2 linked regions of the Lepisosteus oculatus genome follow. The protein of the gene in region 2 interacts with the protein of the main gene of each other region in a pairwise test. Links are inferred from orthologs where the notes say so. Each region holds a gene or a part of one and is shown on either strand. Other genes may lie near its edges. The genes, in order: rab4a and gripap1.

Region 1 (16,555 bases), on a different chromosome or scaffold from region 2:
CCCAGCAGCTCCCAAATGCCTAATACAGAGAAGGGCTGGGAGGCGGCCTTATCTGCACCAGACAAAGGCCTAATTGCCATTAAGACCTCATCTTGGCATTGTGCCTTAATCACATCAGCAGTGGTTTGTACAAGGAAACCGCTGATCTTCAGTTCATGGGTTTATTTGTAAACGATGGTTACATGGAACAACAGAAATACTTGTACTGGACAGAGGAATTCTGATTTTGTCAGCGAAAAAAGGTAAACTGTAATTCACTTAAGTAATTCTACAGGGTAACTGCGACCTAAACCAAAATTTCTAAACATACTGGAGAGATTCACAATGCAAATGAATCTAATTTCACTCCTTGGGTATGTAAAGGTCAAGTAAAACACAGTCAAGAATGAAAAGCAATTTTAAAATAATTTGGATCGCACTATTTTACTTTTCAGCACGTCACGCAAACAGCCCGAACACATGCTGGGGTCAACTCCAGGATTATCAGTCCGTTTTTGTTTGTGCACAGAGAACCGACAGCTGGATGTGAATTGAGGCACGCTGCTCGTGAACTGCTCTGGGTTCACACAAGTGCAGGCGAGACGGGGGTCACTCTCCTGGCCTCCTGCTCACACTCACCTTGTTTCCAGTAGGGTGTCTTTCTGTCACTAACAGCCACATTCCTGGGTGCTCTGGGCCTGGGCTCTGCGGGGCGACCTCAGCTGTCTCAAAGCGGCATCTCCGTACTGAATCCCTGATCCCATTCTCTCTGGATCCAATTCCCCTGGTACAGCAGCGTGTATAAAGAACAGTTAATGCCCTGAGGCATGTCATTCAATATTCCACATTTAACCCACAAGCCATCCAGACAGCACCCCTTTAAGGACCAGGGCTGGGTGCTCTGATCCCTAAATATGCTTGTGCTCAGATGCTGTTTGTGGACTTCAACTCTGCATTTAATACGCTGCAGCCCCATCTATTGATAAGTAAGTTGAAGCAAATGTCCGTTAACCATAACATCATAAGATGGTACCATTCATTTTTAACAAACCGCACACAGTATGTCAGGGTCAACAAAACTCTTTCCGAGTCACGATCTATTAGCACAGGTGCCCCTCAGGGCTGTGTGAGCTCTCCAGTTCTGTTCACACTTTATACAAGTGATTGAACAAGCAGTAGTCAAAGCAACTTCATTTTTAAATTCTCAGATGATACAGCTGTTCTTGGCTTAATGCATAGAGGAAGCAGCTCAGCTGTATACATGTCAGAAATTCAAAGGTTTGAGCAATGGTGTGACAACAAAGCCTAATTCTCAATGTTAAAAAACTAAAGAAATAGTTTTCGATCCCAGAGCAGTTGGTGATCACTCACAGGTAGTAATCCACAACGAATTTATCACTCAGGTCAATTGATATAAGTACTTAGGTGTACACATAGACAGTAACGTGTGCTGGTCTACTCATGTGGAGAGTGTTTGTTCCAAAGTTCAGCAGCGCTTATATTTCCTGCGAAGACTAAGAGTGTTTGGGGTTCGACAAGAAGTAATGCTACTCTTTTATCGTGCTGTAATCGAGAGCATTATCAGGTATGGTATTTCAGTGTGGTTTGGCAATCTATCAGTTCATTTTAAATCGCAAATGACCCGCCTCATCCAGACAGCTGTGAAGGTCATGGGAGTGAAACAGCACCCCTCCCTGCAGACAATCTTTGAAAAATCCATAATCAAACAGGCTGGGAAAATTATATCAGATCCTTCCCACATCCTCAACTCTGAATATCAACTTCTTCCTTCTGGCAAATGTTTTAGGGTTCCCAAATGTAAATCAATCAAATACAAACATTCTTGTGTTCCACTATCCATTAGAGCTGTCAACGCAAATGTCAAGGATAAGCACAATTTTGACCCTTACAACCCACTTGAGTGCAATATGTTTTGTGATGTGTTATAAATGTTACATGTTGTTATGTGTTATACTGTACATGTGCAATAGAATGATGTGCAATGTTTTTCTTCTCTCTTTTTTTTTGCATTCTATTTAAATGTACAGGAGTGCTGGGTGTCCATAAAAAATTTCCCTCAGGGGACAATAAAATCTTATCTTAACTGTACCCTGTAATATCAGATTGCTTTTCTCTGCACAGTGCTGGAGGCTGTTTTTATTTCTAAATACCAAGTGCAAATACTCACCTTCAGTACCCACTAAAATAAATATACAAGTACAAGGAAAGGGGTACTTTTTAAAATCTCAATGTGATCCATAAAGAACTGGCACTGGTTCAGATCAAACCCTCCGTTGTCTCGATCATCTCATCAATCGAAAGCATAAAGCACATCAAACCCTAATCTGTCCTGCCCACTTGTCAGATCTAGCCAGTGCTTGGTCATTCCTTTAGAAACCTAGATTCCAGACAACTGCACTCATCACACGCACCACAGAAAACCCAAAGCAACAGAACTAATACGATATTGATGAGATGCGGGCTCAACCAGCGCAGGGGAAAGGCGGAATTGGTTTAGGGAACACTGCATAAATAAGTGTTGCATAAGCAAATCTGTGATTGTGCAGCTTCACTGAGGCAGACAAAGAAAACAGATACCCGATTCAATCTTGTTCAGGATTTTCCTGGCACACTGCACAAAGGCCTCCTCCACATTCTCCCCTGTGAGTGCGCTCGTCTCCAGGAACATCAGCTCTGGAAGACAGGATGTGGGAATGCGTAAGACTGTTAACTTTCAGTGAATATCAGACGTTAAGGCTTAAGAGGCAGGTGATTTGTACAATAAACATACTACTGTTGCTGTTTAGGCCCAGTCTAAAGGAGGGCAGGGAAAGAGAGGAGCAAGGAAAAAGAAAACCACAACCAATATGAAAGTACCATGACCTCTAGTGGCACTCCATGGGAACTACACTCTTGACACACCACAACAACTCATTCCAGGAACGTTTTTTACTTGATCATGAAAGAACACCAAGCTGATTAAAAAATAGAAGTTACTAAAGCGACAAAAGGAAACCCAGACCATACTTTCATTAATTGACAGAATATATCTCCTGTGGGGACAGGTTTGCTACCCAACGCCCCAGGCTCTGAGACACAAGAGGCCTGTAGCCCACCAGCACTGGTGAAATAGAAGGGAAACTCTCTTGGCTGCATTTAGTTTTTAAGACCGTCAGATCTTTATGAAATGCAATATAAAAACTCCAGGGTAAATGAAGCACTGCAGGGCTTATTTATTTATAGTTGTTTTATATTGCACTTCATGGAGCCTCTATGTTTAATGCGAATATTTACAGAAATATCAAAGCCCCAAACCATCAATATATCACCAAAATATCAACCTACTGTTTAACAATACATCAGCCTGCACCTTGTAAAACCTGAAGTGGAGAAACCGCTTGGCAACAGGATTTTATAAACCTGGTTTAGAACAAGGCATGAAAAAGAGACTACACTTCCTTCGATGCTAAATAAATAAATACCACACCAACTAATGCCCCACTTTGGCTCCGTAAGAATGTTCCTTCACACGATTCAGGCTCAGAAATGGCAAGGGACACTTACCGTTTTCTTGAGCAAACCTTGAAGCCTCCAGGAATGTCACCTCCCTGTCTGCATCCAAATCCTTCTTATTGCCACACAGGATGATGACGATGTTCTGGCTGGCCAGCATCCTGGCGTCCGTCAGCCAGTTGGTGAGTGCGTTGTAGGTTTCTCGGCTGTGTCCAAACAGAACATTACAGATGGCTTTAAATCAAGGACGCGTTCCATCGCAAGACACACGCCTGCATTTGCCATGCGGTTTACAAACGCGAAATGCCCTTCTAAGCTTCACAGAAGCCCGGACATCACATTAACGTCGTAGGAGCACATTTATTTCTGTTCAGCAAATCTACTGGGCTTTTCTTGCGACGAGGTAAAGGAGTACAAAAGAATAAACTCCAGTCTTCACTTTGCAACAGCTCTCCTTCACATCAGCACTGCAGAGGAACAGCACTTCACTTTCCTATACAAAAAGTAAAAATAATGCTTAAGGCTTTAAAGCCAAAAGTGATGGTTTTTTTAGTATACTTTGGTTATTAAGTAACCTTCCACTGCGTTTCTTCTAGAAAACTTATAGTGATCTATTGGAAAGCTTTACCGGTTCCAGGGGGAAAAAAGACACTGTGTTTTAATTTGATTATTTTCATCAAGGCAGTGTGACTGAGCATCAAGCAGGTTCTACTGTACGAGGCTCTTACCTGGTGATGTCATAGACCAGCAGAGCCCCTGCAGCCCCTCTGTAGTAGCTCCTGGTGACTGACCTGCCAGGAGATGACACTGAAGAGTTAACCAGGAATCAGTGAATTCTCCACGTTTTCCCCTGCTCAGCCACATGGTCAGTGTACTATAGCAGTAATCAACAGCTGGATCTGGTTCAGGCTACTGTGCATACAGTGCAGGCTTTTACTGAAACCATGCACAGGTGATGGATATTTCAGGCTTGTTACCTTACAGTTAACCTGCTTAGACAGGCACATAGAGCAAAGACAGTATCAAGCTTGATACTGGTGCAAACAGTACAAGAACCAGCAGCTTGTGAAACTTCAAACAGGTCAGACAACTGCTCCCTGGGAGTCATATTTGTTTCTCTGGAATAAGCAGAACTGCTGAACCTCTAAAAAAAAAAAAATAACCGAGAAAGACTAGAAGCACATTTCATGCATCAAAGATCAACAGCCATCCAATGCAGAAGTTGTGACGTAAAGTTATGACAAGACAGATATGTCCCGTCACTTTTGTCACAGATCTGTGAAGAGATGCTCAGACACCAGCTGGGAGCCACAGTGGACTTAAACAGATCCCACTTTAGTGTTTATGCACTACGTAATTGCACAGTTCCTTACAAAATTAATTTAAGATGATCTGGTTTTGGTGTTCGAGTAACCATAGAGACACACTCATAATTCTGCACAAATGGAAGCACATTAACGTACTAAAGCTTCGATACCCCTGAGCTTCTGAAGCTGCACTCTTCAGTGAATCTGAAGGACAGCCTAAAACAACACTGCTCACAAAGCATGCAGGAGGGTGCAGCTGCAGTCATGCCACCAGCATTGGACATCCAGCACAGACCTGTACTGCATAGAACAAACTGTGCTATTCTGGGGTGGGAAGACAATGTAGACAGTGATGTACAGAGAAAAAGGAAGAAAAGCTCACTTATTACCTGCTACCCGACATCAGAGCACAAATTGCAATACTACTTCACATTACCTCTCGACACTGTAATGAAAACTACTTTATCCCTATTTAGACATAAAAACGTGAAGAAACCTCATTTAATGATCATAACATACATAGCTGCTTTTTGGCATGGATCAGAATAATAAACGCACTTGGTGATCACCAAATGCTCCAGGGCTAGACTTCAACCGGAGCACTAACACAGCAGTGACTTGTCAAGTCCGGGGAACATCGGCTGAAAATATTAGCACCATACCTGAATCGCTCTTGCCCTGCAGTGTCCCAGATCTGCAGCTTGACAAATTTATTCACCACGTTTATAATCTTCGAGCCAAACTCCACTCCAATGGTGTGATTCGAGTCCTCTTTGACTAGACAAAAAAAATAGTCACTTTCACAGACCTGGACACAGAGCTGCATTGAATACTTTGAGAAAACGTTTTGAAAAACCTAAGAAAGATTCAAAAGGAGAGGAGGTCCATCAGCCCAGTTTTGCTCATCTAGACTCATCACTTAATTAAGGATCCTCATTACGAATTTTCTTGTAAATGAGCTGTAACGTGAGCTACCACAGAGCTACCTGGCCACATTCTCCGAGCTAAAACAGCTGCAATCCTTCCAAAACAGCTAGATGGGCTGATGGATCAAGCATCAATAAGCTACAGTGGACCATCCCTGTCAAATTGCTTCTCTCAAACACCTACGCTTATTAAAAAACACAACATAAAAAGAACTGCATGCAAGCTCCACAGAAATTGGACAGCACTTACATTTTCTCTCGATGAACTGGTGGAGGAGACATGACTTGCCTGTACCTGCATTCCCAATCACCAGAAACTTGAACAGGAAGTCTGTGGAAACAAACCAGAAACAAACCAGGTTACAGTAGTCCTGACCGGATCATAGCCAAAGAACTCCTCTACATCTGCATCCATCTAATAATAATAATTCCTTATACTTATATAGCACTTTTCTGGACACTCCGCTCAAAGCACTTAACAGGTAAGGGGGACTCTCTTCCACCACCAGTGTGCAGCCCCACCTGGAGCCAGAGTGCTCCAGTACGCTCCCCAGTGGGGAGGAGAACAGAGTGATGAAGCCAGTTCAGAGATGGGGACTACTAGGAGGCCATGACTGGTAAAGCCAGAGGGAAATTTGGCCTGGATGCCAGGGTAACACCCCTACACTTTCAAGAAACACCCTGGAATATTTAATGACCACAGAGAGTCAGGACCTCGGTTTTACATCTCATCCAAAAGACAATTACTTTTTACAGTATAGTGTCCCCCTCGCTATACTGGGGCATTAAGACCCACACAGACCACAGAGTGAGCGCCCCCTGCTGGCCCCACTAACATCTCTTCCAGCAGCAACCTTAACTTTCCCAGGAGGTCTCCCATCCAGGTACTGACCAGGCTCACACCTGCTGAGCTCCAGCGGGCTGCCAGATGTGAGTTGCAGAGTGATATAGCTGTGGGCAATCTAAGGCAGAGCATCCCAACTCCAGTGTTAGGGATCCCAAATCCAGAGGTGTTCCAGTTCTCCTTAAGTGCTAAGCAGCTCCTCACCCGGGAGAAGTACTGAACTCTTCCCTTGGTTTAACCTGACCACATTATCCCCTCACTACAACCCACAGCTGTTGGCAATTTAAAAGAGACACAAAAAACCTCCTGGGTCCGGCACCCGCAGACTCTGGTGCGTCAAGGTGAACTGCGTCCTGTCAGGCACAACAGCAGTCCACAGAACGAAAAAAAACATCTCTTGCACCGCTTCCAGTCCTAAATCAGCCCCCCTCGCATGCTGACAGCAGACGCTAACACAGGCCCTCCTAATTGAATTAACGCAGCGATCTGTCAGCACAGCAGTCTGGGATGAATTACAGCGGACAAGTCTCGTCCGTTCCAGTCCAGGCCGCCGGCGCCTTATCTCTCCTCTCCCTGGCAGCTCCAGGTACTTCCCGCAACAACACCTTCCAGCTCTGAGCTCGGCATGGGCACCCCAGGGTGACACGCGGTTAATACGCGCTGTAAAAGACCATGTTGGGTCACTAAGTCAAATCGCCAGCTCCAATGCCTATATTTCTGCCTGCCCCCTTTCGCACGAAACGCACCTGGCTCCTGACAGCGCCTGCGACGGTATTTACCAGATAGTTTCATCTGTAAAAACACAATGAAGCGTAGATGGCTAACATGCATTTGAGGAACTGGGCAAAAAGGACTCGCATCTTCTTGTTACGGGAACTTGCCTGTTTTTTTTATAAAGAGCCAGGAGAAAGAAAGCTATTATTATGTGAGAAGATAGCGAAAGGGTTTTTCAAATCCGCATCTCCAAAACAGCCTTTGACAAGTGATCACACCGCTAGATATTAAGAGGGTTCCGCCTGCCTTTACAATACGCTTGTTTAAACACCATTTACGTTACAAAGAGTACCAGTGAGCTTACTTTTCTGTAAGCACGAATTCAACCCGGCGGCTCAGATCTGGTCATTTTACAATCCACACAGTACGCGTCTCCCCGCGGCCGGTGGAGAGAAACGGGAAGCAAACCGCTTCTCAGGCCCGCCTGGGCGCCGCTCCGACCGCGGCAGGTCCGTCCCGGAAAGACCCGGCTCTCCCCGGACACCTGCCGCTCTCAAGTTACCGGGCGAAGACATGTTTAATCACCGTGAAACCAGCCGCGGTGCCTACCGTAAGTCTCGGACATGGCTGCCTGGGACGCGGGCTCTTGTGTGTGTGTGTGTTTTTTGTTTCAATCGTGGGTCGGAAAGCAGAGCAGAGATGAAGAAAAGGAGAGAGAGATTCCCGCAGGGAGCTCTCCGTGAATCCCGGTCCTTTCCCTTTACTTCCTGTAGAGCCCTCTTCAAAATAAAAGCCCTCCCCCTGCCCAGTGAGCTGTGCGCCGCAGCCGTGAGCGCCGGCGTCTGCGAGCGGCCCCGAGTCCCGTCCGTGTGCGCGCACGGGCAAAACCTCTGTCCGGACCGGCGACCTCTGCGTCCGCCGAGCGTGAAAACCCATTCCTCAAAGCAATGCGTGTATTTACAGAGCTGAGAACGGTTTGGATGGTAGTACTTAAATGTCTAGTACTCAAATGGGTGGCACTGTACCTAAGGATCTGTGCCTGTGGCTGGATGTGGATTTGCCAGTTCAAATCCCGCGGCCGGTAGAGGAATCCTACTCTGTTGGGCCCCTGAGCAAGGCCCTTAACCCCAGCTGCTCCAGGGGTGCCGACCCTGTGCTCTGACCCCAAGCTTCTCTCCCTGTCTGTGTGTCTATGCCTCATGGAGAGAAAGCTGAGGTATGTGAAAAGATGAATTTCTAATGCAAGAAATTGTATATGGCTAATAAAGTGATCTTATCCTATCATGATTTTGCCTGATTCTACAGGACTGGCGGAGGGATGTTTCAGGGGAAGGTCACGACAAGGGTTTATTTATTCCTTAGGGTGCCCCTGTCAGGACAGTCAACCACAACTCCATGTTCATTGAAACTGCAGTTGCAGACTTTGATCTAACAGGGGCTTCTAAATATAGTAATAATTCCTTACACATATATAGCGCTTTTCTGGACACTCCACTCAAAGTGCTTTACAGGTAATGGGGACTCCCCTCCAGCACCACCAGTCTGTAGCCCCAGCTGGGTGATGAGACGGCAGCCATAGTGCACCAGTCCGCTCCCCACACACCAGCTGAGAGCAGAGTGATGAAGCCAGTTCAGAGATGGGGATAAAGACCAGGGAGAAATTTGGCCCAGATGCCAGGTAACACCCCTACTCTTTTCAAGAAATGCCCTGGGATTTTTTTAATGACCATAGAGAATCAGGACCTCGATTTTATGTCTCATCCAAAGCATGGCACCTTTTTACAGTATGGTGTCCCTGTCACTATACTGGGGTATTAGGACCCCCACAGACCGCAGGGTGAGCACCCCCTGCTGGCCCAACTAACACCTGTTCCAGCAGCAACCTTAGTTTTTCCCAGGAGTCTCCCATCCAGGTACTGACCAGGCTCACACCTGCTGGGCTTCAGTGAATTGTCATGAGCTGAGCTGCAGGGTGATATGGCTGCTGGCATAAATAAATATGTTTGTTTTGAGGACAAAGAGATTCCGTGGATCTCATCTATCAGTTGTTCCTGATGTATGCCAAGGAAATCTGTTTCAACAGCCTGAGTGGGTTATTAGTTCCATACCTCCACAAAGACATGGCTCCTCTTTTCAGTCTGAAATATCCTCTTCTTACTTTACTTTAAACATGTTTTCTCTGGCCCTGTTTCAGTGTTGGCAGTGAACCTCCCAAGATTTAAATACTTGTACCCAACCCACTCACAGATTTCTCTCTTCAGGCCTTCCTCCCTTCGGCAAATCCAAACTTTACTTTTGCCTAGAAGGGGCTTTAATTTATTAACGAATGTGCTAGAATTGTGCTAGGGCTTTAGTAAACATTTAGAAAAGCTTTTGGAAATAATTGCTAATTAAATATCTTCAGTGATTTAAAAGTACCGTAACTTGTACCTAAAGCGTATATAAAATCATCACAAATGTTCGGTCTGCCAATGGTGCATCTTGTGACTTTTAGAGAGGCAAACCTGTTTTTAATAGTTTTTATTCTATAGATGAATTGTTGGAAAACGTAGAGCCGTCAGTTTGATCTCACCTTTCCAATGGGATCGTGATTGAATACTCTCATGTCCAGGAAAGTCCTAACCCTCTTTCGCCTGTGTGGTACTAAACACGGCCACCAGGAGGCAGTATTACGTCACGGTGCTTTCAGTGTGGCTTGGGAAGCACCCCCAGTTTCAGACGTCTGGAACAAGAAAGTTCTGGAAACAGCAAGGTATTTATTTCCGTGCTACAAAACAAAACATTTCACGAGTGAATAAATGAACAAATATGCAAAGAAACACACCAGTAACAACAGCACAAATAAATACAAAACAAATAAAAAGTTCAAATAAAACATATATACTTTACTTGGAATTTACCAAGACAAAACTGTTTGTAGGAAGGATAAATAAATGAAAGTAAATAAACACCAGAATGTGCCCTGTGATCTGGTCAATGTTAGAAGGGACTACACTCCCTCTGTAAAAGTTGCTGGCAGTATTCCAAGGGTGATTTCATTGTTTGTATTAGCAGCACTCAGAAATATAGAAAACAGATTGTGCAAATTGCCCAGGATCAGCGTTTAGCAGTGCCAGTGTTTCACTGTAGATTAGAGGTTTTCTAGACCTTAAGGTGAAAGGTCTTAGGAACTCATGTCATCCCATTTTGAAATGAATCACCCGGTTTGAGCACAATGCAGCTCAAGGAAACCACTGAAGGGAGTTGTTCAAGCTGGGCAGCAAGGACAAATGCAGTCGAAAAGACCACCAGAATTATGTCAGATTCAGTCAGTTAAGTTTGTCAATGGTTTCAATGTCCATTCCTTTGTTGAAAATCCTTAGTTCTCAAACAGTATCTTCCACAAAATGTTCTGCGCATATAAAGCAGGACATTTTTTTCAGAGATTGCAACTGTAGGGCTGTGGAGCAAAAGTGTTTAGAGAGTGGGTCTCATTTCGTGCGGTTTAGCTGTATTTAAGCACAAAAACACACATTGCAAAATGAGCAAACATTAATGAACTACAGCCTTTGTTAACCCCTTTGATTAAGGCTTTCTTTCTAGTGCCAACCATCATACATAAGATTTCAGAAAAAAAAGAGGCAAAGGTCAAGCACATCTTTTAAATGACATCAGATGTTGCACGTACTGATTGTTTGAGAAGGTCTGGCTCACAGATTACTTCTACTGGTGATTTGTTCAGTCTGATTTGAAAAATCAGCCCTAACTTGTTGTAATTGGGCTGGAGATGGCTGTAAAATGCATACATTTTTGCTACAGCTTAGAAGCCCTACAGCTTTGTATGTGTGCGTCTTTCCTGAACCTGCTGTAAGAAGACAGAAAGAAGGAATTAAGACAATGTATGCCTGTGGGATGCATTTCAAACATACCAGAACCCAAATCTATCAAGTCGTTTGGCTTGGATGGAAAGATATTGGACTTAACTGAGAAATAGGCACAATGTGTTGCAGTGTGTCGTCTATGCCCAACATTGCTAATACTTGGCTTTTTAAGGCTGTTTCATTTCCATCTGTTCTTGAACAAATAGTCAATCAGGTGTGGTATATGAGCCTTTAAATTGCAGATCATATACAGCACATACAGCTGTTTTGGAGGTGGGAGTGGTGTAAATCAGATTCCTTGTCATGTATGGGGGACTGATCATTGATGTTATATTAAAGAGGGGGTCAGTTCATTTCCCGAACGCTGCATGACTGTTACAAGCAAAGCTGGCATTAATTGAACCTCATGATTCAATCTCCTTTTCCTTCACTATTTAAACCCTCCGTTCACTCCTAGTCCTCGCTCGATATTAGGAATCTATCCGCCTCCTGAGCTTGTGGCATCCTCAAACCTCAAACCTCAAACCTCAAACCTCAAACCTCACGCCTCACGCCTCACGCCTCACGCCTCAAACCACTGACCACTGACCACTGACCACTGACCACTGACATGAAGACCCTTCTAGCTGTGGATCCTTCGCCTACCCTCTCATCTCGCCTCTCAGACTCGAAAGCCATCGGGCTCTCTCCGAGACCTGCACGGGGTTCATAACTCGATCATAATGATACAGCGATATGACCCAAGCCCAGGTCTGCACCGAAAACCGTGAGAGAGCAGTACCACAGCAATGGGCTGTTTCCTCGTCATCCTGGAGAAGCACGTGACAAGTTCAGTGCGTTTCGATCGTTCAGGAACATCAAAACCGAAATAAGACTGCCGAGCTGTGTTCACAGTGCAGCACGCATCAAGCAAAATCCACACCTGACACAGATATTGAGAATTTGTCCATGGTACAGCAACCCCAGAAAAAAGAGACTTGATTTTCAAAAAGTGTCAATAATGAATAAAACCAGTTATGATCGTCTCTCCTGTCCTATACAGTATGTATCTTTATTTGTACATTTTCTAAAGGATATAATGCATGCTTTTTGGAACCTTTTCGTAAGTCTGCCCTGGTGGAATTCACACCTCTGGACTTTAGTTTTTAACTTGAATGTCTGTACTAACGTCTTACCGACTTTGAAAAATCAGGTCAGAGATACATATTGTATTGCCTAGGCTATGCAATTCTTGCAGCTTTTTTTAGTTTGGGGGCACTGCCATCTCCAAATCCTCTCTGTCCCCAGTTCATTTGGAGGGCAGAGATAAGAGCAGAATTAGGAAACTTCACTCCAGAGGCACAATAGAGAGTGGACTCCTCCGATGACATAACCTCTGTGTTGACAAGTTATCTCGGACATTGCCAGATAATGTGTCGTAGATATATGTGGCTCCTGTCTTGACAGAATGTCTTCCTCCCATTACAAACCACCAATCTTTTGTCAAGGTTTCTAATGTTTTATGTTAATATTGACAACACTTTGGCTCTTAAACACTATGCCAGTCACTCTGTTCAGACTCTCTTAACTGTGTGTTATATACATTTCGGAAAGTAATTTTCTGGGCTTTAGTTAGGTTTTCCAATCTGTGATTTTTGTCAGTTATTATCGTGACCATGAGGGCAGTCAGTTTGCGATGTGTTTTTTCTGTTTCGTTTTTAATTAAAATAATTTTAAACAATTATTTTAATACATTCGTTACTTATTCACGATAAAAGCCTTAGTTGGTTTATATGATTTTTTAAAAATCTCTAGAAATTGTTCCTTGCAATTCATTCTGTTAAAAATGCTTTTTTCCACTATAAATCCCTCGTTAACAGATATTTTTTGGGAAAAAAACAGATAGTTCTTCGTTCTGGTTCCTGGAAATCTGCACACCTCCCTCACACTGGGAATACATACAGTACATGCCACACAATAGGAATCAGGAAAGGGAAGTGAACTGTCCTTGAGATCTAAAAATGTCATGAAGCTCACGATATGAAGCCAGGATGTTGTTCTGAAATGCTGAAGGTTTTCTTTGTACAAATGACTGATTAAAAGGGACTACATCTGCGCTCTCGGTCAAACCCAGCAGTCAGGGAGGCACGGTGACAGAAACAACACTGGTGTGCAAAAATGGGTGTAGCAAGTATTTTTCATTTTCTGTTTTTAGATGTTATTTAAACAATAGTCTGTTAAACACAATACATGTGCTGAACCTCACTGAGAGACAGTTTTATCCTTTTTTCAAACTATGTTAACTATATTGCCATGGAAAACAGACATTCCTACCAAAGAAAAATGCTCATTCAATCCACAATCCACATGCATTTACAGTAAATACTTGTATGCGTATTATATACAGCCCGTCCAATGTCAATAAGTACTACTTGGAAGAGCGATAAGTATGAGACAGCTTTCCTTTCCTTATTTAAATCAAGTACACCGAAAACTTTTCTTTACAACCCACAGACAATAATAAGAAACAAAACGTACTGTAGGAGTAGGCAAAACATTTCATTCTTGCCATGTGTTAGGCTGGTGTTAAATGTTTGTTGATCGAAGATATGAGTATTCATTTCGTGATTTCCAAATCAAGCACTTTTTTTTTCCCTCACAAAAGCCCACCAGACCCTCAGCTTATAAAACCCTGAGCCCATGGTACCCAGACTTCTGCATTGTTATTCTGCCCCAGCTTGAAAAACACACAACTTGGGAGGCGGTGGAGGGGGTTGTAGAGTAGTGGGGTGAGTGGACAGCCAGGAGGGGGGTGCGTCACATCTTTGTGATCACCCCCAGCGTTCTCTAAACACAAAGAAAGCTGGGATCTCTCTGCGTGTCTGCTCTGGGTCACTGCAAGCATTCACTGCCTTGGTGGGAAACACAGCGATCGTTAATCCGATCTCCTTGCTGTCTGACACCAAAAGCTTGACTGTAAAGACCAAAAAAAAACGTGGAGGCGCAGTCTCAACTTCTGCAGCTTCCCTTCCTCCGTGAGGGACAATGCAGGGCATCGTGAAGGATTAACATAATACATTTTGCTTTACTGCCTTAATCACGGAGATTCCAACTCTTAGGAGAAGTCCATCAACAGTCCAGTGCGACTCCATCTGCAACGAAAGAGGCTGTTGGCTTGTGAGTTAATTATTTGTGGATCGCTGGGCCCTGTTTTTTTTTGCGACATGGGCGATGTGGGCGAATGTTTGATCAATGCTGTGAAGAGCTCTGACATGATGATGAATCGCTCCTTGTTGGCAATGCATATCAGCAAGTGCAGGTCGTCTTTGAAGCCGGGAGCTGATGTTTGGTAACAGTGTCTCTGCCTTGCCTGCCCTAGAATACTAATGAGAGGGCTGCAGCTGTCAAGCTCCGAGATGCACAAATCAATTGTTTCATATTGTGGCCCCATTGAACCCCAGTGGGACTCTTTCATGGGAGTGATGTTAACATTGAAAAGACGCAATTCTTTCAGGCCTGTGGAAGGCACTTTGTCACCTCTTTATCTGAATTAATTCAGATTTTTATTACGTAAATGATGTATATATGAAATCTGATTTGTTCCATGTTATTTGAATAGATTATACAGTATGATAGGCCTTCTAAAAGCTGAAAGTTGAGAAATGGCCTCTTTGAGCGTGTCTCATTGACTGGAAAAGAGAGAATGTTCAGCTCAGCCATGAAGAATTAAATACGGACCTAGAGCAAGCGGAAGAAAAAGAGGTGCTCAGCATTGAGCATGACTGCTCTAAAATAAGTGTCTTGATGTTGTTTCCCTTGGACTCTGCTTGTACCACTGTGCCTGAAAATCCAAAAGAAATGTATCCATAAAAAGTGATACATTTTTGATACAAACCCAATGAGAAATGCATGATGAATAAGGACCCACATAAATCAAGTAATAACTTACCATTTTCAATATTCTATTGATTACTTCCACCATAGAGAACACACCATCAAAAGACTTGAATTCTATTTAACATGTGTGAGCTACTCTTTGACATTCCTTATGAAAAACAGAAATATAAAATAAGAAAAAAACCCTTCCAAATATCATTAGGTTGAGCTTTAACTGACGTTAAAGCTTGGTAGAAGAGATCTGCATACACTACAATTTGCAGAGGAGACACCTAATAATAATAATAATAATAATAATAATAATAATAATAATAATAGTAGTAGTAGTAATCAACAATAATAATAGTCAACAACAATACTACTACTACTACTACTACTACTACTAATAATAATAATAATAATAATATCGGAAATAGGCCCTGGTTAAAGGATGTTCTGCTTCTTTTGCGTTAGGTTACAAAAAAACATTTTACTCTGCTGGGAGTGTAAGCTTGGATCTTGAAATCCAGAGGCTGTAGTGTATCCTGAATCTGACAGGAATTCCCAAGGGAATTTCACAGCTGGCCAAATGCCTGCCAAGGCCAAGCAGAGTTCAAAGTTGGACAGTGTTTCCAATCACAGCAGAGACACCAGTAACTTGCTTGGAGTTCTGGGGTTAACAGAGGCAGAAGCAGCAGATGCTCTTCCAGGGCAGGTATCTGAGGAAAGAGTCTCTCTGGGCCGGGGCACTGAACTGGACTATGAATTGGGAGTCCGAAGGAGGGAGGAGCGATATGCACTAATTCTCAGTTTTGTAAATCAAACATTGTACTCACAGTACTCACTTGCTGATGCTCTATCATGGAAACAGTGCAGTGCAAAGGGTAGCAAAGGAAGGCACTGTTGTGTAAGCAACACGCAAATCTGATTCGGAGTAGGGCCGGCCTTCTATATTAGAATAAAAAAAATATTATTTTTTAGGACATAGTGTCTGTGGAAGGGAGAGGGTGTGCGCTATAGACTTTCCCTGAGAGACATGCTCTGGTGCACATTCCACAGTGAAAATTGCATTCCCAGCATCTCATTATCCCACTACTCCTCTCCTCCTGGTAACGCAGGGAGCAGGGAGCTGAACTAATTGGAATAAAAGCAGCCGGGCGAACTGACTCAGCTCTGCTCGGAGGCTCATTGTTCGCAGGAAAAGAATTAATGACCAGTCCTCCCTCTGGGCCCCTCCCTCGCCACACACACACACAGAGATAGAGGAAACCTCACTGGGCCAGGCTGAGAGGTGCTGCAAACTGTAACTAAACCCGCTGAAAACCAGACAGGAGGACTCTGACACTGGGGCCCTTTGTGAAGACAAGGGGGGAACAGTGGCCCATGTGCTTTCCGAAAGGCAGCGTTCAGCAGAAATTGACTCCAGCTCTTGTACTACTGATTTAAATGACATTTAGTCACATATGATACCATATGATGCAGCTTAATTGTCTGATTTCTCAGTATATTATGCATCTGAAAAGGAGTTACAGTACCCTGGGATGTTTTCCTTTTATT
Region 2 (15,996 bases):
GATGATTTTATTCTCCGACTGTAATTACAGCAGTTGGAGCCCACAAAAACACTTCCCTCAGAGAGCAAAACCCTTTATAACAAAATAAAACTCCCCGACTCACCTCCTAACTCCTTCACTCGCTGTTCAAGTTTGGCACATTTTGCCTCGGCCTGCGATATGAATTGAAAAGCTCATTATTTCCAGCTACAGAAGTGGTACACAAGACTAATTACTCATATAGCAATACTAGCACTCATATACTTAAATCTGCATATATATTCTATGCTCCATCTATATCCAGATCTTCAATACTTTGTCTCTTCTGGCAGCTCCCAGGATTCAAGAGGTTCAAGTTCAAGAGGTTGGGATTTATTTGCACAATCAGAAGATTCCACAGCAAACACAAACTTCTCATGAGAAATGCGTGCAGCTCTGTGCACAGACAGTGCGCTCAGGATAACGCACTGCAACGCGAAGCGGAACTGGATCTGCACCGGACGCGCTGGCCGGGCCACGACGGCACGGCCGCACCCCTCCCCGGTCCCGGGCCCACCTGCTCGATCCGCTCGTTCGGCGCCCTCTCTGGCGTGCCGGCTCCCCCACCGCCCGCATCCGCCTGGCCCGGGTCCGGCTCCACGCAGCCCAGCGCCGCGGGCCTGAGCCCGTTGACCTCGGCCCCCGCCTGGCTCTGCTCCTCCCGCTCACGGTGCTGCAGCAGGGCTGAAGAGGGAGGGCAGAGAGCAGAACATGTGCAAGCAAATTCATGAAATGCCTGCTAGAAGCCAACCCTCCACTGCACTACGCATGCTGGAAACTTCCTGTCTTATACCGTGCCTAGTGGTTCCAGAAACTGTGCACCCCAACCTTGGGCTCCCCCTTCGCTGTGCTCACCTGCCATCTTCTTCTGCAAGGCGGAGTTCTCAGCCTGGAGGCGGAGTAACTCTCCATCCACGGGGCTACAGGCGGAGCCTGGGGCTGCTGGCTCCACCCCTTGCCCCTCCCTCAGCTGCTGGTTCTCCTGTTCCAGCTGTTCGATCTGGGAGCACAGCTGGAGGGGACAACATCAGCTTCAGTGTCTCAGAGTCCCACGGCTTGAAGGCATTACAAGAGCCCTGATTACCAGCTTTCTTACCTGCTGCTGATGTGCAAGACTTGTAAACATTATGTCAATTCTGTTTCTTAGTCCAACATCATGAAATCCAATAACTTAAATGAAGCTGAATGCATAAATAACCTTTTCAGCTAGTAATGAAGCACAGAAATGAATTCAAGCAAGAATTTAAAGACTTTTCAAAATTAGCATTTACGCATAAACATATAGGTTGATCCACAGAAACGTGATGAAGAACAGCTGGGTGAGTCTGCACCAGCAGCCCCACTACACAGCAAGACAGGAGGAGAAGGTGCACCAGCTGACTCAAGAGGATACTCTAAGGAAGACATACTGCAACTGCACAAGCCCAAAGTGGAAGTTAGCCAAGACACTGGGGTTAAGCCCTACACTTTTGAACAGTGCCAGATCTTTAATGACCAAGTAACCAGTTCCTCCTGTTAACCTCTGAAAGATGGCCCTTCCTGCAGCACACTGCCCCTGTCACTACCCTGGGTCACTGGTCAGGAAATTCCAGTCCAAAGGAGCCACCTACTGGCCCACCAACACCTAGACTACAAAACGCTACAGCTACAGCCTTGGATTTGAATTGATCTCAACCCCGCAAATAGAGTTTGTGCTTGATGACAGCACATTTATGTTTATGTGATGAAAATAAGGCTAAGATTGTTCTGAAAAACCTCCTTCGTTAACATCCATGTCGTCTCCAGTCTTTCAGTTTCTCCCCTCCAGGACCTGTGTTTGCTGGCCGTATTTATCAGTTCTCATTAAAAAATGAAAAACGAAAGCATCACGGTGATCGTGTGTACCCACTCGCTGGCCAGAGCTACTTGAGCATGAGCGTGCCTGAGCGTCTCCAGCCCCGAGAGGGCTTTTACACAACAGCCCACACACTGCCCAGGCAGCGGGGGCTGACAGGAAGTCACAAAGGAAGAACGTTAATGTTGCAAACACCAGCGTGTATATGTCTTAATCAGACAGACGCAAAGCAAATCATGTTTTCTCTTGTCGCCTTCTCGACAGGGAGATTAAAAACCTCTTCACAAGCTGCATGGTGAGCAAAGCAGTCAGCACAAACATACACGTAAATGCCCTTTTCAGGAAAACAAGATATCCGTGACTGAACCTCTCATGCTTCCTACTCTTTAATGCCGGCTGTGTTTATTTGTTCTAGTTTCAGCCTCTGGTTTCCTTTCATGAAAAAAGCAGCGCTGACAGAGGAACAGAAGGTACTACAATACACACAGATGTATTTAAAACTCCCTGTGGGCAAAAGCGGGTTTACTTAGGTTTAACAAGTGGAATATCAAAGACATGAAAGTAATTAAACCCAAAGGTGAAACCAAAATTTCAGCATAAAAGAAGACTAACACTGTATGTATGCTGGCGATGACATGAAAGAAATAAACAGCTTAAATAATGAATTAACAGCTAGAGGGCATGTCCACTTGGACTGTTTAGCACAAAAGGCATCAGCATGACGGTAAGTTTAACGCTTACATATAAGCGACTATGACTGTGCTTTGTTTGTCTTTTCATTTATATTTGTAGTTCAATATTGTGCTATATGTCTGCTTCTCCAAGTTTTCTAGCTTTATCTAAAGCAATTTCCGCCAGGTCTTGCTGTGTGGCAATAAAAAATTCTGTCCTACTGGGTATGAAAGAGCAGCTCAGCTTCAGCTACTGCAGGTGTGGGCTGCAGGAGAGTTCAGCACCTTGGAGAGCTCCTGCATGAGGGTGCTGTTCTGCAGCCTGAAGTCGTCCTCCTGGCTGTGCAGTTTGCCTTGGAGCATCTCATTCTCACTGAGGAGGGCGTCCACTTCCTGCCCACAGACACAGGACACAGGAGTCAGATTCCCAGCCCCCGACAACTTGAGCTCCTACAGAGCCTGGCTCGTCAGCTTGTTTTGCCAATACACACAAAGCCCCTGTGTTGTCAACGCCTGAATTAAAAAGAATACACGAGTCTGCTATGGAAGTCTTGTTTCTACTCTTGTTAAAATGGTTCTCCAACCTGCACAATCAGACCCAAAATGTCTTGAGCAGGTTTCATCTATCTAGATTGTGTAAACATCAATTACTTTGCACAATTGTTTTGCACTCCTTGTTTTGGAAAATGCACACTGTAAAGGTCAAATGTTAGCAATTGTTAAAATTAGAATTACTAGGACTTAAGCTAAACATTGATAAACTGTTCATTAATTAACCTATTAAGTTCTTAATTTAACTAGTGTGTGCAGCTGTCAAAATAAAGATACCTTCTTTGCATCCACTGGAGAATAAAAAGGCTCAAAGTCTTACTAAGTGGTTTATTCCGCTTAACAGCTAATTTTTTTCCCCGATTTTTTCCTATTTAAACCAGCCCAAGCCGCGTGTGGAAAGACTCAGAAATCGTCATCCTGCAACTCACGAACAGACTCACCTGAGCTTTCTTACTCTTGCCAAGAGCCTGCAAAACAAAATTAACCTATGAGATTCAAACCTCGATACAGACAAATCTCTATACATATGCTCACATGTACAGGTGCACAAGACCTTTCTCATTCTGCACATATGAACAATTAGAAACGCTAGGTGACCAGTAAGCCCATCTGGCCCATTTGCTAGTTAGCATCTAACTGATCCAAGAATTTGCTTCAACCATATGGTCGGGTAGCCTGTTCCACAATCCCACAACCCTTTGTGTAAAAAGGAGCCTCCTGCTCTCAGTTTTAATTGCACTTCCATCTTGAGGATGAGAGCAAGAGACTACTAAGCCTGTCTATTCCACCCTGTCCTCCGATACTATTTCGTTGGGTGACAATGTGCACTGGTATCAATGGCAACAGTAGTAGTGGTGGGTTTAAGCAGCGGTGGCTGGGACAGGAGAACAACAGGAGCAGATATAGTACCAGCATTGGGAAGAAGAGAGAGCTGGTGAACAGACTCCACCCTCTCACTGACACGACTCTGGAAAAGCAGTGAACACTCTGTCCTACCTTCTGAGCTTTGAGGAGATCCTTCTCGAGGGTGGAGGTCTTCTGGCGCAGGGCATTGAGCTCTGCAACACCAGAGGAACAAGCGCTTCAGGACCCGTTACTTCACACCACAGGAGACTCGGCGAAACACATGCTGAGCACTCTAGACATGCACACAAAAGCCCCCAAGGGCCGTTCAGTGAGTCTGCAGGTTTTCTAGATCTCCGCCAAGCACCAGCATCTGAAGAGCTGGGAGAAGCTGGTAAACTGGTCCAATTAAGTCAGTAAGGAGCTAACCGAGCTCATTAAGAGCTGAGCTGGACTGAAAACCTGCAGACACACCATCCCTCTGGGACCAGGACTGACCACCTCAGTCCTTGGCTAGAGATGACCTTGAAGGGACACCTGTCTGTCAAACACCTAAGGCACCGACAGCGCTGGTTAAACTCTGGGCTACATTATTATCCAGGATTGGCGCACACAGCCCCAGCACCAAACCAAACCAGCAGACTCACAGCGTCCACTTTCAAACTCGGAAGCTACTAGAAGGAAACCACTGACCAATTCTGGGGTTTAATAATACATAAACAGCTGTGATGTGGCTTCTGGTCTTTTGCCGCACCCTGCAGCAGTCAGGCTCGTTTAAAAGAGCCATGCTGCAGAAGCAGCCTCAAAACTGACAGGATGATGACTTGCTTATCTACAGAACAGGTCCCAACCAGCCACTTACAATTACGCAGAGGAATTCAGAAAATCTCAGGCTCAACTAAGCTTTTGATGCCTCTGTATGGCCACAGAGCCCAGCTGCGCGTATTGTCTCTTACCAGCTGTGTTCTTGCGCAGGTCATCGGAGAGCTGGTAGTTCTGTGTCCTCAGCTCCAGGAGCTGAGCCTGGGTCAGGAGAGAGGAGAGGACGTGGGGGATCCAGTCAGGCACAGCAACCGGAGCAGAGACGGGCAGGAGAGGGGGAGGGTCAGGGGCAGAGAGGAGAGGGGGAGGGTCAGGGGCAGAGAGGAGAGGGAGAGAGGAGAGGGGGAGAGGAGCACATGAGAGCATTAATCAAGGGCTACTAGTCATTTAAACCATTTTGATCATTGGTCACAGGTTCAGGTTCTACAAAACAACTTTTGTGTACAGAGATGCAGCAGAAGACAGTTCAGCTCGCGCAGAGCAACTCCATGCAAAGTGGTTTCACGAGGGCTGGGCTGCACTCCTGGACCGGGTGGAAAGGGAACTTTAGTATAACACAACTGGCTCGTCTTCGAGAGGTGGAGGCAAACCACTGGAGCCCCAGGGGAGAACATGCAAACTCCACACAGAAGGAACCATCAGCTAAAATTAAACTTAAAATCTAAGAGTTATGACACAGCAGCGCTAATGTGTGTGCCACTGTACCGATAAAAACAGTTTTAAAAGTATTATCAATATCAATGTGAACATTTATACCGTAATGAAGAGGGGAAGAACTTTTGTTGTATTTTTCTTTTGTTACCATGCTATTGCAATCGGGTAAAAAAAATCCCCTTTGAATTTCAGATCATATAGGATAGAACCATAAATAAGACACAAAATAAAAAAGAAATGGAAGCTCAAACAACGAGGAAGAAGAGATGTGTTACCTCCTCTCTCTTACTAAGGGAATCTGTTTCCTTCACTTTTTGCAGGACAGTGACGGTCAAATCTCTAAGAGCCTTCAAGCAGTGGTTCAATTTTAAGTGTTAAGTCACCTCAGTCAACATCAATTTACATCATTCCCATAAAACAGTTGAATTTATAGTGAACATACTTAACTGTTTAATGCAAATTTGCAATGCGTTATTATTTAGAGAGACTGTAAATTATTTTTTTAATAACTTCAGGTAAATGGCTTTCCCAAGTCCGTTTGTCTTCACACTGCAATTTGCCTCAGAGTTACAGCTCAGACAGGACTGATTTCTGCAATGTATGACAATCCCCGCTTGCAAGAATCTCTCATGTGACAACCATGTGACTGGCCAACTCCTTTCACTTTCCCTGGAAAAAATACCAGACATTCCAATGATCCCATTCACTGTCCACCACTTCATAACTATGGAATTCTGATTATGTCTGCAAGGAGGTTTCAAATCCTTCAGAAACCTACAGGCTGATATCTGAATACGGTCTCACCGAGCTTCTTTATGAGCAGTCCTGGGGATTTATCTACAGTAGCACGGTTTGGCATATACTAATATCATCTTTAACTCGCTTAGCATGTAGATGTGAACTCTTGCAGGTGGTTCCCAGCACTGCTGATCCTTGTGTAGTTTTCAGCCCCGTTTCTCTGGCTTATGTGCATTCGAAGTGTTTCTTTGCTGGACCAAAGGGACTTTCCTGTCCCTTGGAGTTGAAATGTTTGTGGATGCACTCCAATCCTAGAAAGGTATTGCTTGCTGTGGACTCATAGATTCCAGCATCTGTGGACACTGAAGCTCAGCAGGTGAGAGCCTGGCCAGTACCTGGAGGGGAGACCTCCTAGGAAAGCTAAGGCTGCTGCTGGAAGAGGTGTTAGTGGGGCCAGTAGGGGGCGCTCACCCTGCAGTCTGTGTGGGTGCTATTGCCCCAGTATAGTGACAGGAACACTATACTGTAAAAAAAGATCCGTCCTTCGGATGAGCCATATAAACTGACACACTGTGGTCATAAAAAACTCCAGGGCGTTTCTCAAAAAGAGTAGGGGTGCTGCCAAATTCCCCTCTGGCCTTTACCAGTCATGGCCTCCTAACAACCCCCCATCTCTGAACTGGCTTCATCACTCTGCTCTCCTCCCCACTGCGAGCTGGTGTGTGGGGAGAGTACTGGAGCATCATCCAGGTGGGGGTGGAGGGGATCCCCATTACCTGTAAAGCGCCGTCAGTGGAGTGTCCAGAAAAACGCTATGTGTCAGGATTATTATTTATTATTATCAGCTGCAGTGAAGTAAGAGTAGCCATTGCTCCCAAAGGCAGGCCTCGTTAGCAGGCGAGCACAGACGAGCAAAGTTTAAGGTTTGAGGTTTAGCGGATTAAGGCTTCGTTGCCCTGTGTGACACACCGCTCGACACCAAGAGCCAGCAGGAAGGACTCCGGTTTAGTGCTACAATGTTAATGGACTACCTTCCAGTGTGGAATTAACCCTCTGAAGCAGACAGGAGCTGGCACTGCTCCACGCTCGATATTTATAGACCCCTTGTCTGAGAATATATTGGGGGTGGTTCCTCATAAGATCGGACTCAATCCCTTCCACCTAGTCCACAGCCACACAACCCACCTACTCCAAGAGCCACTGAGCAAGGATCTAGCATCCACCACATCCAGGGCTGGACAGGGCTGGCCATCGAGAACAGCGGCACATAGGCGCTATGATTTTATTGACTCACCCAGGAAAGTGCGGATCACTGGCTTGGCAGAGTTACAAACTGTCACAGCTGACTGGGGGCTTACGTGCTCACAGAAGGACCCCCGGCGTTTTTTCGCCGGCTCTAACTGGCACAGCCGCACTCCGCCAAAACCGCAACGTCATGTCACAACACAGCAAAATAAACACAGCGGCTGAAGAGCAAGGAGTCGAGCTCTGCATCCGAACGGCGACCTGATACCCACCGCCGGGGTCTGACTGCGAGCCCCGGGTCTCTCCATCACTCAGGACCTCAATACAGGATGCGGTCGACTACAGGAAAAACAGTCCCCCCGTCCCGATTTAGGGATTGTGTTAGAAACCGGCCAGCAAAACTCACAATCTGGCAACTTATTAAGGAGAATACGACTAGGACGGTGCTGCTCCACTAAAAAAAAAACAATGTCAGCTAGTTTGCAAAAAGACTAGCTGCTCAGACGTCCCCAATTCAGAATTGTGAACCAGCCTGTCAATGGGCTGATTAATATGCTTATTTGTTTTCTGCATTACCTATTCCCCACGCATCTCTGTCTCTCTGCCGGCTCTTCCCCGCCGAGTGGACTGGCTCCCATCGCCATCACACTCGGTCACAATCGCCCACTCGACGCCGAGGCTGCAACCTTGGCCTACGAAAACATCCGCACTGTTCTCGACCCTGCTTTCCGAACGAAAGCTTCATGACCCGAATGCCCAGCGAGCCCTACTTCTTATTACCAACCCGGACCGCGATGTGACCCAATTCGACTTGATACTTTGTCGTATTAGAAGCATTTTACCTGCATTCGATGGAACTCCTCTTCTGACAGTGCCTGCGCCATCTTTACTACTGGAAGGGGGGAGGGGGGGGGGGGGTCGGCCGATACCAATGACACAATACTTTCTCCGGGAAGGGGGTGGGAGAGGAGGGAGGGAGGCGTGTGCGAGCGTGTGAAAAATAAAGACGCGATTGGGATCTTTATCGCTGCCTGCTGAAAACTAAACGGCAAATAACCGATGGTAAGCCCAAGTCAAATACACTGACTTTAAAGATCCGAGAAGGATGACGGCTAATCCACCCTGCCGATACAATAGTTCAGTCCATGGTGAGCCTTACATTAGCTGCACTAACGACACCTGTCCGACAGGGGGAGCAGCAGCAGTTATTCATTTTCAGCAGAGAACGACGTGTCCCACCGACTGGTGTACTCACAGCACTGATTAAAAACACCGAATTCTTAAGATTGCTATTTTAAATTAATAATAACGCTGCAGTGTTGGGCAACTTCGATATCGTCTGTAAACTAGCCAAGCGTGTGTAACTCTGCTCTCCTTTGTTACCTTTAATATTCCTAAAATTGAAATATTTAAAATACGTCAGAACATAATCAAGGTTAAAAACGAGAGGAGCCCATTCATCCCAACTAGCCTGCCTAGTAGTTTGTGGCTAATTGAGCCGGGGATGTTATCCAGTCCTTTCTTGGAAGAATCCGACGTGTCGGTTTCAACAATATGACTGGGGGGCTTGTTCCACGCCCCCGCCACCCTTAGTGTAAAAGAAAAATGCCTCCTGTTCTCATTTGTAAATGCAAAGCCGCGTAGCTTCCGCTTGTTTCCTCTGGGTCTTGTGTCCGTTTTGATAACAGAAACGAAAAGCATCAGCTCTGTGGGAGAAGGAGTAGCGGTGCTACGGTCACGGGTCCGAGGCTGTGACGTGTCACTTGGATTGAAGGTGGACGCTCAGAAGTCAAAAAGGGTTTAGGACGGCGCCAAAAACACCAGCCACAGCGTTAAAATCTCGTTTGTATAACGAGTGTTCCTCTCATTCATAGACACTTAACCTTCCCTCACGTATACAACTCAGGTGTGTCGTCATCATAAAATCAAATTATCCGAATCAATAATCGAATTGTTAGTGGGGCACACGGGGGCAGCGGGTGGACGTGTTTCATCTGTTTAAAAAGGCACTATATGGCAGTTTCGTATAATCGCCCATCCGAACCGTCTCCTCGCCCGACTTCAAAAGTTCGTTTGTGAAGCACGACGAGTTGGCGATGTACTTCGACAGAAAACGCACCCAGCAGTGGGTGGCAGCTGACCCACCAATTTGGAAATGAGAAGCTTGCCGCAAGCCGCGGCTTCACTGGTGAGGAGACTGGCACACCGTCTTACAGCGGCCGTGGGCGACGGCGACAACACTCGGCGCGTTTCCCGTGGCGGGATCTGTCACATTGATCTGTCCTTAAAAACCGCCACCGCAAGCCCGACCGCACCGCCGCCGTGAAGCCGAGACAGGATCACTGCACACCGGCAACGTTAAGGTTCTGTCCGCAGCAAAATCACAAAGCCGATCGCAAAAATACCACACAAACACACACACTTCGAAATACTTTCACTTTTAATTTAAAAAGTGTGGGGGGGGGAGGGGGCAAAATTCACACCTTGTCGTTTACGTTTATGCAGAGCAGATCGCCGGCCGACCCTGGAGAGTGTCGCCCCTTGTTAGCACGCGGAAGAAGGAAACAAATTGCCCCTCGGGGCGCTGAGAGTCACGCATCACCATGCGGCTGCACACAGCGCGGAGCAGCTGGGAAGAAAGATGAACTCTGGAGCAAGCCTGAGAGAGAACAGGGCAGGCGAGACTGCAAACGCGTAGAGACCACATCTGGACTGACGGCGTCAGCTGGACTGGACACCAGCCCGTGGCTGTCCCTCGGGGTCAGTGACCACTGAGGGTCAAGCGCTGCGGACTGGCCCTGCGGGAGCGCCGGGATTTAACAACAGTGCTTCGGGATGGATCTGGCTCGGACTGGACTGGTCTGCCCCGCCCGTTCTCGCTCCTCCTGCAGGTCAGGGCAAATACGGCTTGGCTCTGCCGCGACCCGGTGGAGCGAGCGTCGCCGACGCCCGTGCGGGACAGCCGGCCGGACCGCGACACCGGCAGGCGGGCACCGTGGCGCCGGGACCGCCGCGGACTGGCCGGCTCCTGCCCAGCCCCTGCCCAGCCAGCGTGATGTCAGGGAGAGCGATGCTCCAGTTGTGCCGCGCCGTCAGGAGCGCGTCGGGAGCGGTGTTACTGCAGCAGGTCCCGGCGCCGGGAACAGGCTGATCCCAGTGTCTGAGGAGTTTCATCCCAGCGGAGCTCCAGGTCACCTGCGCTCACCGATCTGCTTCAGTGGTTTAGACTTCCAGTCTCCAGGTTTCTGCACTCAAGTTCTGAGTTTCAGGCATATAGTTTCATAGACAACGTCTGCACACAGGTCTATCAGCAGCCCTGCTCACCTCTATTTCCGATTAAACAGCTATCATTAGGTGCTCAATTTATGCTGAGTGGACACAGCTGAGAATAGCTTGTGTAACACTCTCCCAGTAAGCAATTGTTTTCCTTCTTACAGGAGTCTAACTGGTTACACTTCAGGCCAAATACCTGAGTGAGGAGAGTCTGACGTTCAGAAACTGGGGACAAGGTTGATACCAAAGACAAACCCCATTCAACACTTGAAGAAGTGAAAGCCAATTTCAAAATCGTCCCCAAACAGAAAACTGAAATCGAATTCGCTTGTCATACAGAACTCCACTAGGATAAAAACCAGTGGGACAGTGGTTCTCCAGCAACACGGTTTGGAGTCACTGCATTAAAACACGAAGAATACTATTTCAGAATGCTTCTCCGCTCCCTGCCTGACCCTTCCGACTTCTGTAAAGCAAACTGTTCGTAAAGCTAAATTCACACTGCAGCGGGAAAGCAAATGTAACCATAACAGTACATAATCATAGAGCACATTAGTTCAATATCAACCTGTATCCTTCCTTTCTCTGGAACCTATTCAAACCTTCATACAGCAGAGTCAGCAAATGAGAAGTTAACAGCTGGGGATCTGAACAGAACCAACATAGGTCTATTTTGAATATATGTATATACAACTTTTAAAACTATTCAGTGTGTCCGAGGTTCATACAAGGAATTAAGACGTGCAGGGAGTGTTTGAAGTTACAGATTAGTTCAATACTGAAGCTGGAAGTTCTGCCTCTTGCATAAATTAGCACTGATTCCAGTGCAAATCTGAAGTCATGGTAACACTGCACTCGCGACAGCGTGGAACTGACCTTTTCAAAGGAATTCCCCTTCACTTTAGTCAGATCTGCTGTCACATTTCAGATCCTGTTTCCTACCACAGAGCCCTCCAGATTCTTTTATATAAACACATAGAACACCGTAACATATTGCATAGAAGGCAAATTTAGAAAGAGATGCAACTGTGTGTAACTGCAAGACTAGGCAACCCTCACACTTTTCAGAGTATTGCTCAAAATCCTAATCCCACCGTTCATGGTAAGCACAGTCTCAAACGCTCCGGGAGAGACTCCGGCCAGCAGCGGCCGTCACAATACACTGGCAATGTCCTGGAAACCCCAGCTGCAGTGTAGTAAACTGCAGCCCAGTCTAAGGACAAGGGCAGCGGACACACTGACCCGTGAGGCCTGTCTGCACCGAGGGCAGGGTTCGAGAAGCCCGTGCTATAAAACACCAGGCTGAGAAAGGGCACAGGGACTGCAGGGAGACGGAGAAGACAGGAATGCAGCCAGAGCAGACAGCTGGGGAACTGAGGATTTATTTCAGCATCGAGGTTGCACACGCACGCTTTGAATTTTTGATCTAGAAAACGTCAGCCTTTCTAGAAAAAGGCTAGAAAACCCGATCACAGGACGATCATTCAAAATAACGCTCGGTCTCGCTCGGGGATAGGTTTCTGTTGTTGTCACAGAAAACATGCTCGGGACAGCCCCAGCCCCGACGAGCAGCTGACGGGAGACCAGGCCCCCAGCGGGCGCTGTGTGGGGTTCGAGTCAGTACCAGCTCCCAGGGCAACGGTCTATAACTTCAAACATTCGCTCCACACATCTCTAAAGAAACCTGACTAGCTGAACAACCTGAACAAGCTTCCTTCAGAGTGTAGAGTTTCACAGAGCAATCAGGCATCTCTCCCCAATTTTATGACCAAGATGCCAACGTCCCTGGCTCTTTTAAAATTAAAACTCAAGTTTCTTCTGCATACGGTGCCTGATAAGGTCTTCATGTTCAAAGACTCCTGATTTCCAGAGCAAGCTCTTCAGCTCCCGGTGTAAACCTTGCCCAAAGTCTGCACACCTGTCCAGCCCAGAGACATCCTGTAACAGACCTTCAAAGACCACACTCCCAGACCCCTCCAGATCCTCGCTGGCTGATATTTCTGAACGACACCTTTCCCTAGATCTGCTTTCCCTCCCCATCCCCCCCCCCAAGAGAAAAGAAATGCGTCGCCTAGCAGTACCTAGACGATTAAAAAAAAAAAAGAACCTGTCTGAGAGGAAAGGTGTCCATTACAATCCAAGCCGCCAGGAGACCAGCGAGTTAGTCTGCGGGTGTGGTCCTCACGTTAGCGCACGCGGCCCCGGGCGCCCCTGTCCCGCACCAGGAAGGGCGGGGGCTCCTACAGGGGGGGGAGGAAGCCGTTGTCAGTGGTGTCCTGGCGGTCCGAGCCCCCCTTGCCCCCCCGCGAGCCCTTGCTGGGGTGGGGCGTGGTGGAGTACTTCGGGGGACAGCGGATGAAGAGGCGGTCCTCCTCCTTCTTGATCCAGCGCAGCAGCTTGGTGATGGCGTTGATGGCCGAGGCCTTGGTCACCAGGGGGCTGAAGCAGGTGTACAGCTCGAACTTACTGGTCACCTGAAGGGAGGGAGGGAGGGAGAGGAAGAGCTCAGCTGATGGGGGAGAGTGCAGGTGTCCTCCGAGGAAAAGCTTCCCCACTCCGCTCCTGTGGAAACTCGAACAGTCCAGGTGTGGGATCCAGCTGGAACATAAACCTTCTGGGACACCTTTACCCTGCATTTTAAACTCAAGCATTCTGTGTCCTGAACTGATCTGGGAATTATTTATTGTGCACCACTAATCATCTCAATTGATTTTAGTGGACCTTTGAACGACACAAACCTGAGATGCTGAGGGCCTGTGCCAAGTTGTGTAATGGGCGTGCGATTACAACCAGGGAGATTCCTGGATCAGACTCCAGCTCTGCCACCAACCCAGTGATCGGCAACAGTGACTGTTTCTGCCACGGTTCACCCCCTATTCTCTATAAGAATCTGGATGAAAATGTCTAGAAAGCAACAAAATATTAGCACTTCAATGGGCATGATCCCACGCGCTGGCTGGAGTTAGAGCAAATTGCTGAGAGTGATTGCAAGAAAATGTGTTAATGCACACCTTCTAGTCCAGGATTTTACTGGGCAAGTCTACCTTCCAGCACAGCGCAACACTCTGATTGAACTACTTATTGGGTAAACTGGGCAGTTAAACAGATCTTCTCAGCTCTGCAGGCGCTGCGGGCTTAAAGAGACCTGGAAAACCTGCAGGAACGCAGCCTTTTCCAGACTAGATTGGAGATCCCTGCCCTATCCCATTCGGTCAAAGTGAATAAAAGCCTCTCTTAATGAGTTATTATTACGAAGAGGTGTGGTTGGGGGGGTGCTACATTGGTGTTCAGGCTGCAGGCAGAGGATCAGGCAATTCAACACTGAAAAAGGACAAAGAAACAATGTCTGGAGCCTTCTTCGTGTCTGAATTTGAACATTGTTTTTTTCCTTCTGCTTTGCAGTGTGGAAGCAACCTCTGCTCACTCTCAATCACCTGTTGAATGGTTATCAAGACTGCGGTCGTGTTCCTGCCACCAGCTCCTCACCCTGCCCTGCCCTAGCCCCGCCCCGCCCCCACCCTGCCCAGGCTTGGCCCACCCCACCTTGTGTCTCTCTTCCAGCACACCCAGGACACAGCCCTGTTCCTGCTCCAGCCCCCTCCCTGCTCACACACACCCACCCTCTCCCAGCCCCGCCCCAACCCTGCCATAGCTCCGCCCCTGTTCACCCCCCACCCTCTCCCAGCCCCGTCCCTGTTCACCCCCCCACCCTCTCCCAGCCCTGTCCCTGTTCACCCCCCACCCTCTCCCAGTCTCCCAGCCCCGTCCCTGTTCACCCCCCACCCTCTCCCAGTCTCCCAGCCCCGTCCCTGTTCACCCCCCCACCCTCTCCCAGCCCCGCCCCTACCCTGTCATAGCCCCGCCCCTGCTCACACCCCCACCCTCTCCCAGCCCCGCCCCTACCCTGTCATAGCCCCGCCCCTGTTCACACCCCACCCTCTCCCAGCACCGCCCCTACCCTGTCATAGCCCCGCCCCTGTTCACAACCCACCCTCTCCCGGCCCCGCCCCTACCCTGTCATAGCCCCGCCCCTGCTCACACCCCCACCCTCCCCCAGCCCCGCCCCTACCCTGTCATAGCCCCGCCCCTGTTCACACCCCCACCCTCTCCCAGGCCCATCCCTGTTCACCCCCCACCCTCTCCCTGCCCTGTCCCTACCCTTCCATAGCCCCGCCCCTGTTCACCCCCCCACCCTCTCCCAGCCCCGCCCCTACCCTGTCATAGCCCTGCCCTTGTCCACCCCCCCACCCTCTCCCAGCCCTGTCCCTACCCCCCAGCCCCGCCCCTGTCCACCCCCCCCCTCCCCCAGCCCCGCCCCTACCCCCCAGCCCCGTACCCAGGCCAGGAGCGTCTCCCTCTCGGCCACGTGGTAGATGAGCTTGAGCGGCCGGGTGCAGCTGTGCATGCGGCTGTGCAGGTAGCGGTACAGGTCGAGCAGCCGGCGCCTCTCCTCCTCCGTGCTGTAGGGAGCCTCCAGCTCCGGGCTGAAAGCAACGACACCCACACACAGCGGTCAGCCTCCCCAGGCGCTACAGCCACTCACAGGCTCCCGTCTTCCTGCAGTGCCTGTGCGCCTGGCATTCCGAAACATTCGCGGTTCAGAAAGTTTAGGAAAACACGTTCTAACGAGACGTTATCAGCTCTTCAGAACCCCGGAAGGACCTTTCAATGTTATCTCAAACATGCCTGAGCAGAAAGCAAACACTGGAGGCAGACCAGAGCATTACGTTCGGCTCCAGTGTACTTAGGAAACCAGGTGCTGGAGCAAGCTTCCTCACCGCATGGTGGGAAGTGGATCTCTGCGGTCCTCCGAGATGCAGCTGGCCGAGTCAATCAGCTCTTTGCTACCAAATGAGCCAAATGGTCACCTACAGCCTGTCACCCTCCTTCCAGCTCTTAGCAGAACACATTTCAGATTTCCTGCTGGCACAGCTCAGGCAGGGCGTTTCCTCACTTCGTGCACAGAGGACTGTCATCCAGAAGCCACTCCTCTGAATTCTCTCTTCCTAATTCTACCCATGGCTGCCAGAGAGGACCAATGCCGATTACTGGTTTCTGCTGGGGATTTCCCTTAGTAAAGGGAACTAATCAACAGCAATTTTTTTCACAGATATATGAATTTAGATTCTGGATCACAAGGTAGTTTTGATTTAAGTGCAAAACCGCTTTACAAGTACCAGGGTATTAAACAGAGGATTGGAGAGGGCTGCATGTCTCTCTTTGAATTCCTAAATAAAAAAGTTTTGGCTGCACAAAGAAGAGTTTCTGTGCAATTCATCAGGGAATCAAGAGTCGGTAAAACAAGATCATTGAGGTTAATGGAATAAAGTTACGAAAGTTTCATTC

What was found.
Region 1: the proteins of gripap1 (region 2) and rab4a interact in binary tests that used the Homo sapiens proteins (3 or more experiments, as listed by UniProt). The link is inferred for Lepisosteus oculatus from reciprocal best matches to the Homo sapiens genes GRIPAP1 and RAB4A.

Annotation. Positions count from the first base shown.
Region 1 is NC_090712.1:2,308,795-2,325,349, forward strand, and holds the start of rab4a (ras-related protein Rab-4A), read right to left. Parts: upstream 8,094-16,555; 5' UTR 7,909-8,093; coding exon 7,893-7,908; intron 6,057-7,892; coding exon 5,976-6,056; intron 5,577-5,975; coding exon 5,462-5,576; intron 4,284-5,461; coding exon 4,221-4,283; intron 3,699-4,220; coding exon 3,544-3,698; intron 2,674-3,543; coding exon 2,578-2,673; intron 764-2,577; coding exon 648-763; 3' UTR 619-647; intron 1-618. UniProt on the Homo sapiens protein: The small GTPases Rab are key regulators of intracellular membrane trafficking, from the formation of transport vesicles to their fusion with membranes.
Region 2 is NC_090697.1:77,018,520-77,034,515, forward strand, and holds the start of gripap1 (GRIP1-associated protein 1), read right to left. Parts: upstream 8,279-15,996; 5' UTR 8,262-8,278; coding exon 8,220-8,261; intron 4,942-8,219; coding exon 4,875-4,941; intron 4,134-4,874; coding exon 4,072-4,133; intron 3,543-4,071; coding exon 3,516-3,542; intron 2,917-3,515; coding exon 2,809-2,916; intron 1,031-2,808; coding exon 874-1,030; intron 703-873; coding exon 536-702; intron 153-535; coding exon 104-152; intron 1-103. Other genes in the region: mon1ba (vacuolar fusion protein MON1 homolog B), read right to left, coding at 12,891-13,124, 14,987-15,134. UniProt on the Homo sapiens protein: Regulates the endosomal recycling back to the neuronal plasma membrane, possibly by connecting early and late recycling endosomal domains and promoting segregation of recycling endosomes from early endosomal membranes.